2 linked regions of the Rattus norvegicus genome follow. The protein of the gene in region 1 interacts with the protein of each later gene in a pairwise test. Links are inferred from orthologs where the notes say so. Each region holds a gene or a part of one and is shown in the gene's direction. Other genes may lie near its edges.

The links. The genes of interacting proteins can lie anywhere in the genome.
Region 2: the proteins of Cdc25b (region 1) and Cdk2 interact in a two-hybrid assay, tested with the Homo sapiens proteins (2 studies listed by BioGRID and IntAct). The link is inferred for Rattus norvegicus from reciprocal best matches to the Homo sapiens genes CDC25B and CDK2.

The regions. Positions count from the first base shown.
Region 1 is NC_086021.1:138,856,805-138,864,386, forward strand, and holds the start of Cdc25b (M-phase inducer phosphatase 2), read left to right. Parts: upstream 1-3,368; 5' UTR 3,369-3,558; coding exon 3,559-3,758; intron 3,759-4,501; coding exon 4,502-4,623; intron 4,624-5,251; coding exon 5,252-5,303; intron 5,304-7,430; coding exon 7,431-7,472; intron 7,473-7,582. UniProt on the Homo sapiens protein: Tyrosine protein phosphatase which functions as a dosage-dependent inducer of mitotic progression. Directly dephosphorylates CDK1 and stimulates its kinase activity.
Region 2 is NC_086025.1:1,717,751-1,725,438, reverse strand, and holds the start of Cdk2 (cyclin-dependent kinase 2), read left to right. Parts: upstream 1-3,560; 5' UTR 3,561-3,710; coding exon 3,711-3,826; intron 3,827-3,888; exon of another isoform or gene 3,889-4,105; intron 4,106-4,522; coding exon 4,523-4,600; intron 4,601-4,698; coding exon 4,699-4,819; intron 4,820-5,969; coding exon 5,970-6,140; intron 6,141-7,365; coding exon 7,366-7,467; intron 7,468-7,688. Other genes in the region: melanocyte protein Pmel 17 precursor, read right to left, coding at 2,096-2,168. UniProt on the Homo sapiens protein: Serine/threonine-protein kinase involved in the control of the cell cycle; essential for meiosis, but dispensable for mitosis. Phosphorylates CABLES1, CTNNB1, CDK2AP2, ERCC6, NBN, USP37, p53/TP53, NPM1, CDK7, RB1, BRCA2, MYC, NPAT, EZH2.

The DNA.
Region 1 (7,582 bases):
GGTAGTCATAAGTGGTCAAGTAATCTTTAAAACAAAGGTAGGGTTGCAAGATGGTCCTAACTGTTTGAAACAGGGACACGATCGCCATTCCTGGAACAGGCAGCACAGAGCCATTGGTAGGTAAGGTTATGGTGGGGTATAGCCCAATCCTTGAGAAGCAGAGGCTTAGTCATAAACAAGAATAAACCTAGTTTGTCTTTACTATAAAATGCTGTTTAAGCCTTAGGCTTGCCTAAAGCTGGTTCTTGTTTCCTCTCCCCAGAAGACTCTAGTTTGTGTCAAGTTGACAAAAAACTAACCAGCACAGTAATACTTTTAGTATATTAGATTAAATACAATACTAAAATTAAAATATAAAACTTACTATCCTTACCGCATTTATTTATATTTTTGCTGTGTTATGAGCAGATGCCAGAAACCAGGCCTTTGCATATGCTAGGCAAATGGTCTGCCCCTGAGACACACCTCAGACCCTTTTCTATTTTTGTTGGTAGTACTTTGGGGTTGTTTGTTTGTGACAGGCTCTCACTCTACAGCCTAGGCTGGCCTCAAACTGTCACTGATCCTCTTTCCTCACTCCTCCTCCGTAAGTTGACAGAGTACAGGACTGAGGTTAGCTTCCCTTTTGCTTTTTGAACGTGGCTACTAAGGAATCTTTAATTCTGTTTGTGGCCGCCATGCGCGTCTGCCACCATGCTTCCTTTGGCTAAATATGAATCATCTTCAGGAGGTGATACAAGAAATTTCTCACAGTGCTGTTTCTGAAGATTTAGGGGTGGGGCTGTCTTTTGTATCATAAGATGTTGTTCTTTGAGGTTTTAGTGGCACAAAAATTTAACATGTCACACCTATGGAAAAAAAAAAAAAGGTGTGTGTTGGGGGACTAGTAGAGGAAACACCGTTCCTAAAAAGGCCCTGGAGAGATGGCTCTAGGTTAATAACACTGCCTGCTCTTGTAGAGGACCCAGGTTTGACTCCCAGCACCCACATTGCAGCTCACAACCCTCTGTTTCAGGGGATCTGAAGTCCTCTTCTGTCCTGCACAGGCACCAAGCAGGCAAATGGTGCACACACAGGCAAAGCGCCTGTGACATAAAACTCTGCGGGCTGCACCGTGAGATTTTTAACCTGCGGGCAGTGGCACTCCATGCCTGAAATTCCCAACACTCAGGAATCAAAAACAGCCCAGTCACCATAAAGTTGAAGCCAGCTTGCTCTACACACAGAGTCAGAAGCCAGCCAGGTTTACATAATATAGCACTCCTCTTCCTAATCTCAAAAAAGAGCAAATTTTTAATTGGATATTTTATTTATTTACATTTCAAAGATTATCCCCTTTCCCAGTTTCCCCTGTGTAAACCCCCTATCATACCCCCCTACCCCTGCTTCTATGAGGGTGCTCCTCCCACTCACCTACCCTTCCACTCCCACCTCACTGCCTTAGCATTCCTCTACACTGGAACATCAAGCCTTCATAGGACCCAAGCCACCCCTCCCATTGATGCCAGATAAGGCCCCTTTCGCTCCTTCGTCCTTCCCCTAACTCCTCTATTGGGGTCCCTGTGATCAGTCCAATGGTTGGCTTTGAGCATCAGCATCTGTATTGGTCAGGATCTGGTAGAGCCTCTCAGAAAATAACTGTATCAGGCTGTCAGCAAGCACTTCTCGGCATCAGCAGTAGTGTCTGGGTTTGGTGTCTGCAGATGGGATGGATCTCCAGGTGGGACAGTCTCTGGGTGGCCTTCAATCTCTAAGAGCAATTTGTTGTTTTAGTTGAGTATGTATTTTATGATCTAAGTGGAAAAGTGAGGTTCAGGAGGGTGTGAGTGGGTGTCAGTTGCCGTGGAAAGGACATCTCTCTCCTCCACTGGGACAAGGAGAACCTTTCAGTTGTGGAACTTCATGAGATTCAAGTGATCAAAACTCAACACAGCATGGCTCCTCCTCACCCCAAACAGTGTGTGAGCTGAGATGCAGGTTGAGGGAAACCAGCTATGTTGGTTTTGAAAATATACTCCTTGGAGCAATTTTATTTCAGGTCTTTGGAATGGAAGGCCATGTGGGGACACATTTCTCTCCTGGTCCTGGCACTAAGGTCTTGACTTATGACTGGAATAAGAAATGGGTCCCCAGTAGCAGTATATAAGTTCCTGACATACCACAGGAACTGGGCAAAATGTTGAAAGAAAAAAGTGGTCAGGTCGTGGTTCCTACCTCGGGCACTCCACTCAGGTGTGTCTAGTGTCCTCCTTTATTCACAGCTGAACCTCTTAGACTCTATCCCTACCCTTAGTTACCCCTTTGCCATTCTTACCTGGTGGGCCTAGGGTGGTGGTTAAAATAGCAAAGGCAGGTGTTCAAGGCTGCTCTCAGCTCCTAGATCCTATACTGCACCCCATGACCGTCCCAGAAGCCACACCCTCACTGGGGAATTTGAAAAAGTTCCCAACTACTTACTAGGTCCTTCCCAGCTCATTCCAGGAAAACAGACTCTCGCCTGCAAGGTGATTAGATCGTTAGAAAACGCTCATTGTAAACTAATAGCAAATTCAGCCTCTTTTACTTTCAAAGAAACACTATGGTGCTATTAACCCCAAATTAGCCAAGCCATAGTGGGTGTGAGATTCTTCCCTTACTGGGTTCTCTGGCTGCTCCCAACTGCCTGCTGCAGAAATCATTGCGTAAATCTAAACGTTTAATTCTCAGGGGTTATAGGGGAGACTATTGGGCTTAGCTCAGTGAGGCAGTTCCTCTGTGCCTCGCAAAGCGCCGCGGTTGAATGACTGCAGCTGCTCTCTGCGGCCTAGGGGCGTTGACAGGGAGGCTGCAGGATCAGAGGAGCCCGGGAGGGTGCATCTTCGTCTCCGCCATTCAACCAAACCCGTGACCTTAAACGAGTCACGGAACTTTTCAACGCTCGGTCTGTAAACCGGACAGGGAACGCAGAGCTCACAGCAAACTTGGCAAACGTCCTAGGCTCAAGCAGAGTGTAGCACCGACCCTTACCGGTGACCGTGCACTGATGGTAAACGTCGAGGGCTCCTTACGAGGCCACCCTAAGTGATGGCTACTCCTTCTGAGGTTATGTACCTCCAAACCCTGTCCCATGAGGCAATATCCTGGAGACCAGGATTCTCGTGTCAAAGGGAGCGGAGGGTATGTGTGGAACAGGGGGTTAACCCAACTCCCTGAGTCACCCACCCTAAGAAGCCAAGCCGGCAGAAGTAGCTGGTCCAGCCTCAGCCCAAGCCACCAGCGCCCCGCCCTTGGTCCCGCCCTCCCGGAACCGGCGCCCCCATTGGTGGCGTCTGGCGGCGCTGCCGCTGTTATTTTTCGAATATATAAGGAGGTGGAGGTGGCAGCTGCCCAGCTCGCGTCTTCCCCTCCCTTCCTCCCCACATCCCTCTCCTCACTCCCAGGCCCACTGCTCTTCCTCCCTCCCTCCCCTCCCTCCTTCCCCTTACCCCAGGCTCACTCTCGGAGCCTAGCCATCTGGGTCGGCGTCTGCTGGCCGCTGTACTTGTGGCCCTCTAGCTAGCCTTTGCCCGCCCCGCCACCATGGAGGTACCCCCGCAGAAGTCTGCGCCGGGCTCAGCTCTCAGTACTGCCCGCGTGCTGGGTGGCATTCAGCGGCCGCGCCACCTCTCAGGCTTTGGGTTTGGGTCTGATGGCTTGCTGGGGTCTCCAGAGCGTGCGGCTTCCTCCTCTCCGGTTACCACTCTTACCCAGACCATGTACAACCTCGCAGGGCTCGGCAGGTAGGATGCCCCAAGGGCACTGGGTGTGGTGGGATGGGAGGCCGGGACCAGGAGACACTAGGCACCAGAGCCACGGAGTGCAGCACACCGACGCCTTTAGCCTTGTTTCAGTGACATGGGACCAGTGTGCTGAGTCAGAAGCTATGCGACTTACACCCTCCAGATGACTGGCCGTCTAAGGATCATTTACCTCACTGCTCCTTCATTGTGCCTCCTGCACACTGTTCTTAGGCAGAGGATCATGAGGTTGGCCTAGAAGTGGGTCTTAAAAGGCTGCGCCCTGCTCTTTGAAAATATCTCACCTACTCCCCTAAGGCTTAAACTGAAAAAAGACGGGCCACCTCCTTAACCTGTGGGGTCCCAGCTGGGTGGTCGGTCCAGCTGCAGCAGAGAGCCGGGTCTTGCTTAGCCTTTGCCTCCTGGGAAATGCTGGCGAGGTGAGGATGTGCCCAGCAGGAGAAGGTTCTCCAGAGCTTCTGGGCTGTCTCCTGCCCATCCTTCTCACTCTTCCAGACACTTAGAAGGGTCTTTCCTGAACCAGTCAACGCAGAGAAGACCCTCTCGGGCCTCAGTAGAATGAAATGCTTTGACTTGAGATACAGGCTAGTTCTAGGATCACCTCTCAGTGACAGATAGATGGGCCCTTCATAGTTGGGGAATTCATGGGAGCATGGGCTGACCAGCTTCCAAATCCAACATTAATTTCTTTTTCTCCTCCTCTGTGCCTCTTTCTCCTTTCCTAGCGAGACCCCAAAAACTCAAGTAGGAAGCCTGTCGTTCCAGAACAGGCTGACAGACCTGTCCCTGTCCAGACGTACCTCTGAGTGCTCCCTGTCATCTGAGTCCTCAGAATCTTCTGATGCAGGTAAGGCCCAGGGCCCGTAGTGGGGGTACACACACCACCACCACCACCACCACCACCACCAAAAGAGATCAGGGAACTTTCTGGACCTTCTAAATTCTCTGCCCATGAGATAGATCCCGGTCCTTTCCACAGAATCATCCCCCAGCTTGCCTTCAAAACTATGAAGCAAACAAACCTCTGGTGGGTCTTACCACACCCAGCCTAAACTGGGAGTCTGGGGAAGGACGACTCTTGGTAGGAGATGGTATCTTACTTATTTGAAACCTAGCGGTAAAGCCACTGAACTACAGCTCCACCCAGACAGCACTTGGTACCAAAAGCCTGTCCTTGTGAAGCATTCTCTTAAGCTGTAGCCTTTTCTCCTTAGAAAACCATTATCTTTTCCAAGTTGTTTTAAACCAGCTTAAGAAAAATGCTTAGAAAGCACTAAAAAATAAATAAATAAAACAAAAAAGTGCAGATACGTTTCCCATAGTAAATAGAGAATGTAGCCCCTCGTCCTATGGGGGCAGTGTCCCATTAAAGTATGCCTTGATCTCAAAGAGAAAGAGGTTTCTTTTCCCTTTCTTGGGGAAAAAGTAAGCAGGAAAGGCTGCTACCTGCAAGCCAAGGTGCTCTGTCCCACCAGGTCTCTGCATGGACTCCCCTAGCCCTATGGACCCACAGACAGCAGAGCGCACGTGAGTAGAGGGGGAGGAGTCCTTCCACTGAGGACTTGGCACCTGCCCTTGAGGACTGATCTTTCTTTAATGTGTTTTTAATTATGTGTTATATGGTTTTCTACATGGGGATATGTGCGTGTAAGCGTGTTGTCCTATAGCGGTCAGAGAGGGCCTTGGAACACTTAGAGCTAGAATTCCAGGCTGTCGTGAGTTGCCATATGTGGGTGCTGGGTACTGAACTCAGGTCCTCTGCAAGAATAACAAATACTCTTCGTCACTGAGCCATCTCTCCAGCCCCCAGTATCCTGCTTAAGAAAGGGAAACCAAATAATAGGCAGGTTCCTCAGGATCCCCATTGCGAGGGGTTGGTTTCTTCCTAAGTCTTAAGAATTGGCTCCTTATTCAGAGAAGGCCTGATACCATAGAAACCAGAGGAACGTGGGCTCAGGACCACAGGTCACAGGAACAATGGCCTCTGGGAAAGTATACTCCAATATTAGTCCAGCTAACATTGTCATTCAGAAAAACAATGCCCCTCATGTTCCCACTTTTCTTTTTCTCCTGTATACATTTTTTTGTACATGTAACATTTTTTTCAAACTTAAAAATATGGTCCTGGGGTTGGGGATTTAGCTCAGTGGTAGAGCGCTCGCCTAGCAAGCGCAAGGCCCTGAGTTCGGTCCCCAGCTCCAAAAAAAAAAGAAAAAAAATATGGTCCTGTTGGGTGTGGTGGCCCAACACTCTGGAAGATCAGACAGAAAGATAGGCAGTTCAAGGCCAACCGAGGCCAAACAAAAATTGCATTTGCAGACTGGCCTGGCTCATCAGCAGCTCCCAGTTTTCCCTGACACTTGGTGCTTTTGGCTGACCCTTGACCAGACCCTTTGCAACAGGGAATGGAGAGGAGAAAGCTGGTCTTTGCTGTGAGCAGACTCCTCCTCCTTGGCTGTGGCACAATAGAGCCTTGTAGAGCACACCTGTTCCCATCCAGCTGTGGAGTAGCTGTCAGTCATTAGGAGGAACAGCTGGGCATTGCCAGTCACAGCTTTTGGTTTAGGGCGGGGGTTACTATTTCCCCCTGATGTCTTTGATCAGACTGTGCTGGTCTCAAGGTTTATTCACAAACAGGAAATCGAGAGTTGGGTGGGGATGGGAGGAGTGTACGTTGTTTTTTAGCGACAACACAGATAGATCCCTCACCCCTGAGGCCCAGCTACAAATGATGCCAGGTTGATTGCACACAGGCCTCTCTGAGGGTCACTTGGACACTAAGTGCCTCTCCAGTTAGTCTGCACTTACTTTTGACTATTTACAGCTTCTCAGAAAGAAGCTGGGGTGTACGTGTGTGTGTGTGTGTGTGTGTGTGTGTGTGTGTGTGTGTGTGTGTGTTAAGCTCCACATGACAGGTGCTCCAGCAACATTGGAAGGCAGGGCCTGTATGTAGAAGTTGACGCTTCAGCCTCAAATGGAGCATCTGTTGGAATTCCTTGCTGGCTGGCCTCTTCTAAGACAGAAGGAGGGGGTGGAACAGAGGTTGGGTCTTAGAAAATTCCATAGGAGGGAGGAGAGAATGTAACCCTGTATACTTGTCACTAAAGGGTCTGCTGGGCTGATCCAGAAAAATCACCAAAGCAGCCCCTGTCCAGGGAGCCAGGCCAGTGGCTAGCAGAAAGGGAAACCCAGCATTGCTGGCATCCACCCCCAGGGTCACCTATATTACAGGGTACCTTCAGCCTGTTGTCTGGGATGGATCAATGCCTTTCATGGTGGCCATATGGCCCCAGTAATGTAATTTGCATACAGGTGGAAGGCCTGTGCTTGTGTGTGCAGGCTGGCGAGACTGTTGCCTTGGTGATGTCTTAATGACCCTGTGACCTGCCCCAGCTGTCTCCATCACTGCCTTTCTCTGGGCCTGCTTTTCATTCACAGCAGCCTTTACAATTCCAGGCTGCCTCAAACCCTTCCTCCTTGGTCCCTGGTCCCACCAACAGTGCACTATTTTCTACTCTCCCCTCCTAGAGCCTGACCACAGGCCCTCATCCTTGCCCTTGTTGCTGGCCCTATGGGCATGAGCCAGGCTTGGGCCTGAGGCTTGGGGTAGATGTTGGGCTACTGGGAAAATGGGTCATTTCTGCTCTCTCCTAGGTTTGAACAGGCCATTCAGGCAGCCAGTCGGGTCATTCAAAAGTGAGTCTTCCCTTCCTTCCTTACCCACCTCCTGCTGTCTTGTGTGGTGTGGATGTCATGGGTGCAAGGGAATCCTGCCTGCTTTGAGTCACTGGCCTCTGATTTCACAG
Region 2 (7,688 bases), on another chromosome or scaffold:
CCTGTCTCAACAAACAAACAAAAAATAATATTCATTTTTAATTGGTGTGTGAGTATGTGTGTGTGTGTGTGTGTGTGTGTGTGTGTGTGTGTGTGTATGCTTGGTGACCCCTGAGGTCAGAAGGAACCTCTGATCCCCTGGGTCTGGAGTTACAGTTAGTTGTAAGCTGCCATGTGGGTGCGCTGGGGACTGAATCTAGGTCTTACAAGAACAGTCACTGAGCTAACTCTCCAGTCCTTCAGAGACTTTTTTTTACATGGTGGAAAGGCCACTGTGGCATCAGGGCATGTGCTCAGGAGTCAGCAGCGTAGGATCACCATGAGGTTGACAGCATGAACTACAAAGTGGATTGTAGAGCAACCCAGTCTAAAGAACTTTGTCTCAGAAGGAGGAGGAAGAAGAGAAGGAGAAGGAAAAGGAGGAGGTATTGGTGTAAGGGAGGAAGAAGAGGGGGAGGAGGAGGGGAAAAAAGAAAAAAGGAGAGGGAAGGAGGGAGGGAAGAAGAGAGGGAGGGAGGGAAAGAGAGACAGAGACAGACCAGGGAGAGGAGGAGAGGAATAAGAAGCAGGTACAGGGGCTGGGGATTTAGCTCAGTGGTAGAGCGCTTACCTAGGAAGCGCAAGGCCCTGGGTTCGGTCCCCAGCTCCGGAAAAAAAAAAAAAAAAAAGAAGCAGGTACAGGTTGGAGGTGGGGACAGAGCAGACATAATTATTATAATTTAATTGGGTATAGTGTGTCACATCTGTAATCCCAGCATTCAAAAGAAGGAGCAGGAAAATCACTGCAAGTCGGAGGCCAGCTGGGGTTACCCTGGGAGACCAGAGCTAAAATGTATGACTGAAAAGAAAGGAATAAAATGAGCTTCCACATCCCTTACCTGAATCCAGATCCCAGATCCCACCAACAGTTTGATACATTTGCTTTATCCTTACTGCTTGCTGGTCCTGTCTGAAGTTTGTATTCAGAAGAAAAATCTTGGGCAAATGAGGTGGCTTATGGGGTAAAGATGCTTGCTGCCTAGCCTAATGTTCCCCAGACTCACATGGTGGGAAAAATACAAAAACTAAAGTCAGGGTTTGAAATGTAAGCACAGTGCCTTAAGAACCTCGACCTGTGGGTATCAACAGAACATTTGCACATTAAGGAACTCCATCTCAAAAAAGAAATGAAAAGAAAAAAAAGCCTGGAAATTGCAGTACAAATGAAGAAGCCAGATTAAGGAACTTTCACACACACACACACACACACACACACACACACACACACACACACACACAAGCACACGTATCAGCACAGAGAACTGTCCTTAACCCAAGTCTAATGTCCACAGGAAGGAAGCCCAGGGTTCTGCTGGGGGTTTGGTCTATGCTCCTCTCAGCCACTGAAGAGCAGTCATAAGATGCACTATTCTTTTTGACTGCCCGCTCTCCCTCCTCAGCAGCAGGACATTCCAGACGCTCTCACCACCCTTCACTCCCTCCCCTTGCCCCTGTCACGAGGCCTCAATCCCCCAGAGTCCTTTCATGTGATGCTCAGCTGAGACCCTTCTAGACCTCTCCCAACCCTGGCACATAAGTCCTGGCTGTATTCACCTGCCCCAGCCCAAGTGCAGAAGGCAGTATGTATCAGTTTGGTCTTGTTGAACACCCTATTCTTTTTTACTCTACATCTCCTACCACTAGCACTTAAGATATTACCCAAAGGATCTCCCTGCTCATGTCACCTCCGTGGAGCCCCTGCTTCAGCTGATTGCTTTAGGAAGCCTCAGAATTAGTGCTGTGCCTTCTGCCCCTTGCATCAAATAGGAATACTTTTATGCTTCACATCTGAAGCTGGGCACAATAGTTTAAGTCTGTAATCCCAGTACTTAGGAAGTAGAAACAAGAGGATCAGGAGTTCGAGTCCATCCTTGGGTATATAATGAATCTGAGGCTAGCCTGGGCTACACTGGACCTGTCTTAAACAAATAAAAAACAAACAAAACTATATTCTCACCAAATCAAATAGAGCCAGCCTGAAATATTTTTACTTGTCTGATTAGAAGGTGGAAATCCAGAGCAGCTAATAGCACTTGCTCCTGACCACACACACTCACCTTCTATAGACCCCAAAGCCAGCAGAGCACCCAGCACAAGCACAGGAAGGAAGCACCTTCTCTGGACACCCATACTGGTCCTCCTTTCAGCAGCCAAAGGTACCAGGGGGTGAGAATGAGCCCCTATATAGAAGGGGATGCTCATTTGCATAGGCCTTCCTCCTCTCCCTCCAGAGGAGGGGAAACCTGGGAAGAAGGAAAGGGCCGGAACTGATTTCATCCCATTGCTCCAATGACAGTGTCTGGTTTCACTGGGTCACATTCACTGACACACACTTATTCTGGAAAGAGTTCGCTGATGGGCAGCCGCAATTCATATACTTCACAGTCACAGTTCAGCAAGGCAGAGTCAAGAGAATTGAGTCAAACCAAAGAGTTCCTTAAGACAGAAACAGCACCTTTATCCAAAAGCAGCCAGAAGGGGCTGGGAGTGTAGATTGCCAGCAATGAAACAACACAAGCAGCCAATGAACCCCGAAACAGTGAGACAGTATTAAGCTAGGCTGAGAAACGACTCTGTTATCTAGCCAAAGAATCCTTTACAATAAGAGTCCCGATTGATTTTCCAGCCTGGCCTACAGAGCGAGTTCCAGGACAGCCAAGATTACACAGAGAAACCTTGTCTGGGAAAAAGAAAAGAAAGAAAAAGGAGGGAAGGAGGGAGGGAGAGAGGGAGGGAGAGGGAGGGAGGGAGGGGAAGAGGGGGAGGGAGAGGGAGGGAGGGAGGGAGAGGGAGAGGGAGAGGGAGAGGGAGAGAGAGAGAGAGAGAGAGAGAGAGAGAGAGAGAGAGAGAGAGAGAGAGATTGAATTCGTGTTCCACATGGCCTCACCCGGGAAACCGAGCCAAACGGATCTCTGTGAGTTTGAAGACAACGTGGACTTTTGAACGCATTCCAGCCAACAAGGGCTGCATTATGAGATGTTTCAGAAAAGCAGGTGGGAGTGCTGGAGAAACGGCACCTCTGTTGAAAGCACAAGCTGCTCTTGCAGAAGACCAGAGTTCGCCCAGGACCTCAGCTCCCGGGGATCTGCTGTTTCCGTGAAAACCTACAGATACGCAAACACACACCTAATTTAAAATACGTATTTTTTTCTTTTAAAGATTCCCAGGTTTAGTTTTTTAAAAGAGACTTTCTTGGCCAGGTGGAATTTAATCTCACCCAAGGGATGGTGAAAATTGTGAGGGAAAGGTAAGAAAAATCCGTAGACCAGAAACAACACCAGTTCTGGCCCGCGGAACCTAAACCAGGAACTAGGGGAAAGTTGCGCCTCGGCCCCTCCGCTCGCCTGCCGGGGGCGGGGCCTCTGAGGCGGGAGCGCGGGGTCCGGTCCGCCCTCGTGACGTGAACCAATCGGAAGGACGGGGGGCGGGGCCAGGGAAACGCGGGAAGGAGGGGCGGGGCCTCGGATGGCAGGCTGGAGCAGTGGGGGAGGCGGCAACATTGTTTCAAGTTGGACAAATTGTCAAGAGCTGAGCTCTGCTTGCGTTCCATCCCGAGCTAGGGCTGCCGTGCTCACCCGGGCCCCCAGGTCCTCCGCTCCGAGTGTCCGGCCCGCTTTCGTCAGGGTTCCCGGGCCCCGCTCCCGGGGGCCTGAGCCGCCTCACTAGCGCTCCATGGAGAACTTCCAAAAGGTGGAGAAGATTGGAGAGGGCACGTACGGAGTGGTGTACAAAGCCAAAAACAAGTTGACGGGAGAAGTTGTGGCGCTTAAGAAAATCCGGCTCGACACGTGAGTGGCCTCCGAAGCCGGAACTCCTTTGCCCGGACCTCTTGGCTGCCCCCCCCCCCAACCCCTTACCCAAACAGGCGGGTAGCCTCCCGGGACCGGAAGGTGGCGGGGAGGGACTCCTGAAGCGAGCGGTGGGTTGGCGGACGGTGGACGCTCTCCCGGAGGAGACTGTCCGGGGCTAGAATTCAGGGGAAAGTTTCTTGTCGTGCTCCTCCCGGTGTGCTCCCAGATCTGCAAGCCGAGAGACTTGGGAAGAGAAAGTGGGAGGTGGGAGCTGAGGTAGGATCCAGGGCTGTTCATGGAGTTGGGTTATGTGGGAACCAGAGAAAAGCTCCTTTCTGAGTGGAGAGCTCTTCTCACTACTCCAGCACCATACTTAGAACCCTCACCCTCTTTCAAAAGAATGGCAGTTGAGATTCACTGGTTCTCTGGGGAGGCTGGGAGCTACTCTCAACCCCCTCCGCTATTACCTTTCCTCTGCTTTTTATTCACCTGGAGGCTTCCCTTATCTTCCACTGGAAAAAGAGGAAATAATGACCTTGAATATTGTCTAAAAGCCACACCCTGACTACCCAGGAATTAACCCCTGACAACACCTTTCCTTTCTGACTTCCTAATGGGTTTGGGGGTTGTGTATCCCTGAAAGAATAATGTTTGTAACCGTCTTCCCGCCTCTGTTTCCCCAACCTCTCCAAGTGAGACTGAAGGTGTGCCCAGTACTGCCATCCGAGAGATCTCCCTCCTTAAGGAGCTCAATCACCCTAACATCGTCAAGTAAGTCTACTCTGAGGGATGATCCCCAAGATGAATTCTGTTTGCTTGGCCTCACAATTTCTCTCCCTCAACTCTGGTTCCTGGAACTTCCCTTGCAGGCTGCTGGATGTCATCCACACAGAAAATAAGCTTTATCTGGTGTTTGAATTCCTGCACCAGGACCTCAAGAAGTTTATGGATGCTTCTGCTCTCACTGGCATTCCTCTTCCCCTCATCAAGGTAATCCTGCTCAAGTCTAGCCTACACGCTTTAGGGGAAACTAGAAGCAGGTAATTCGGACTAGTAATGATTTATTTTGGCTTTTTTTCCCCTCAGACTTCTGACTTTAACACACTCCCCCCTTTCCTGTCATTAGTCATTAACCCTAGAATGGACAGAAGAATCCAAATTGAGCTCCTGTGAACCAACCAAGGCAGCTCAGGCAGGAAGGAGATCAGATAACACTCAGATACAGGAGATTGAGGGTAGATGAGTTCCTTGAAATAAATTCTCCCACCTGTGGTGTGGGAAAAACTAATCAGTGAGTCTCTGTGGTCTGTTTTCAAGCTAGGCTGGATCCTGGAAGCACTTTGAATGTATCAGCAAGTACCTACTCAACACATAGTCACTTAACACCTTCAGTGTTGCTAGACACGGGGGTTGAAAAAAGGGATGCAAAAGTTGAGTAGTATCTGGTCTATATCCTTGCCAGGCTGAAAATTCAGTGAAAGACATCGCTATTAAAGGTGTGGTTATGCTGTAGTTGTGTGTGTTGGTTTGTGTCTGTAATCCTAACACTTGGGAGGCTGAGGCAGTAGGATGTAAGTACAAGGGCAGCCAAGCTACAAAGTTCCAGGCCAGAAAGACAGTATCTTTAAAAACAAGCAGGACTGACAAGATAGCTCAGTGGTGAAAGCGCCTGCCTCCAAGCCTAATGACTTGACGGCCTGAACTCCATCCCTAGGTCCCACACAAGAAGAAAAGGAGCTCCTGCAAGTTGTCCTCTGACTTCTACACATGCACTGTGGCATGCCCCTGCCCCCATAAATAAACAAACAAATAAAATGTAACTAAAGAATTAAAGAACCCCTCCCCAAGTATATGGTATAGTTCTTGTGCAGCATATTGAATTTTTTTTAAAGATTTATTTATTTATTATATATAAGTATACTGTCGCTGTCTTCAGACACACCAGAAGAGGGCATCAGATCTCATTACAGATGCTTGTGAGCCACCATATGGTTGCTGGGATTTGAACTCAGGACCTCTGGAAGATCAACCAGTGCTCTTAGCTCCTGAGCCATCTCTCCAGCCCAGCATATTGAATTTTGAGGATAAAGAATAAGTCATATCTGTTTGATGAAACAAACCTCCCTCTCTCCTTTGTCAGAGCTATCTGTTCCAGCTGCTCCAGGGCCTAGCATTCTGCCATTCTCACCGTGTCCTGCACCGAGACCTTAAGCCCCAGAACCTGCTTATCAACGCAGAGGGGTCCATCAAGCTGGCTGACTTTGGACTAGCAAGAGCCTTTGGAGTCCCTGTCCGTACTTACACTCATGAGGTAAGTCCCTTTATGGTTTTCCTTAAGGATCTTGGGAGATGGGGCTGGAGAGATGGCTTAGTGGTTAGGAGCACTGACTGCTCTTTCAGAGGTCCTGAGTTCGATTCCCAGCAACCACATGGTGGCTCACAACCATCTGTAATGAGATCCGATGCCCTCTTCTGGTGTGTCTGAACAGAGTACTCATATACATTAAATAAATAAATTTTTTTTTAAAAAAAGGATCTTGGGAGATGTTCGTAAGAGCATTTGGAAATTACCAAAATTTGGGGCAAGAGTTCTTTGGTGAATGGAATCTCTGACAACCCAAGGGCCTTTAATTATTTATGTAAAGTGTATGAGTGTTTTGCTTGCACATGTATCTGTACCATATGCCTGCCTGGTGCTCACAGAAGTCAGAAGAAAGTGTCTGATACCCTGGAACTGCAGTCACAGATTGTAGTGATCTGGGAATTGAACCTGGGTCCTCTGTAAGAACTACAAGCGCTCTTTTTTTTTTTTTCCGGAGCTGGGGACTGAACCCAGGGCCACTTGCTAGGCAAGCGCTCTACCACCGAGCTAAATCCCCAACCCCCTTATTTATTTACTTAATGTACTACTGTAGCTGTCTTCAGACACACCCAATCCCATTACAGATGGTTGTGAGCCACCATGTGGTTGCTGGGAATTGAACTCAGGACCTCTGGAAGAGCAGTCAGTGCTCTTAACGCTGAGCCATCTCTCCAGCCCACAACAAGCGCTCTTAACTGCCAAGTCATTGCTCTAACTTTTACCAACAGGGTCTTAAGATATGCACTGAATTCATATTACAAAGTTGCCTCGACTTGGATACTAGGCCAGGAAAACGGGTTGCTATATCATTTAAATATCTCAGATTTTCTAGGAAGGTCCCAAATCTGGGGATTTAGAATACATTACTGGATAGACAGATGGCTCGACAGTTAGGGGCGTGTAATATTCTTGTAGATGACCTGTATTCAGTTCCCAGAGCCCATGACTGGCAGTTTGCAGCCACCCTCAACTCCACCTCCAAGGCATCAGACACTTTGTTCTGGCTTCTAAGGGCACTGCATAGTTGTGGAAACCTACATAGACCTGCATGTATTCACATTATTGAAATTTAAAAAAACAGTGAAATCATTTTAAAAGAAGCTGGAAGGTTGTGTTGAACTGAGGTATGTGGCCCTCCCTCCCTTGTAAGCCCTGCTGTCGTCTTGTTCCCCAGGTGGTGACCCTCTGGTACCGAGCACCGGAGATTCTTCTGGGCTGCAAGTACTACTCCACAGCCGTGGACATCTGGAGCCTGGGCTGCATCTTTGCCGAAATGGTACGGAGGCTTGCCAGGCTCTCTACAGCCCACCCATACCCACATCCAAGAGCAAAGCCCATCTTCTTGCCAGGAACCACAGTGCTTTTATTCAGGGTTCTCTCACCTGTCACCACTCTAGAGGTGGTTGCCCTGATACCAACTACAATTTTGGAATATCCCTACACAGATTTAGTTAACTAGTATCTATCTCTTATTTCCCAAGTGAGCGCAGACCACTC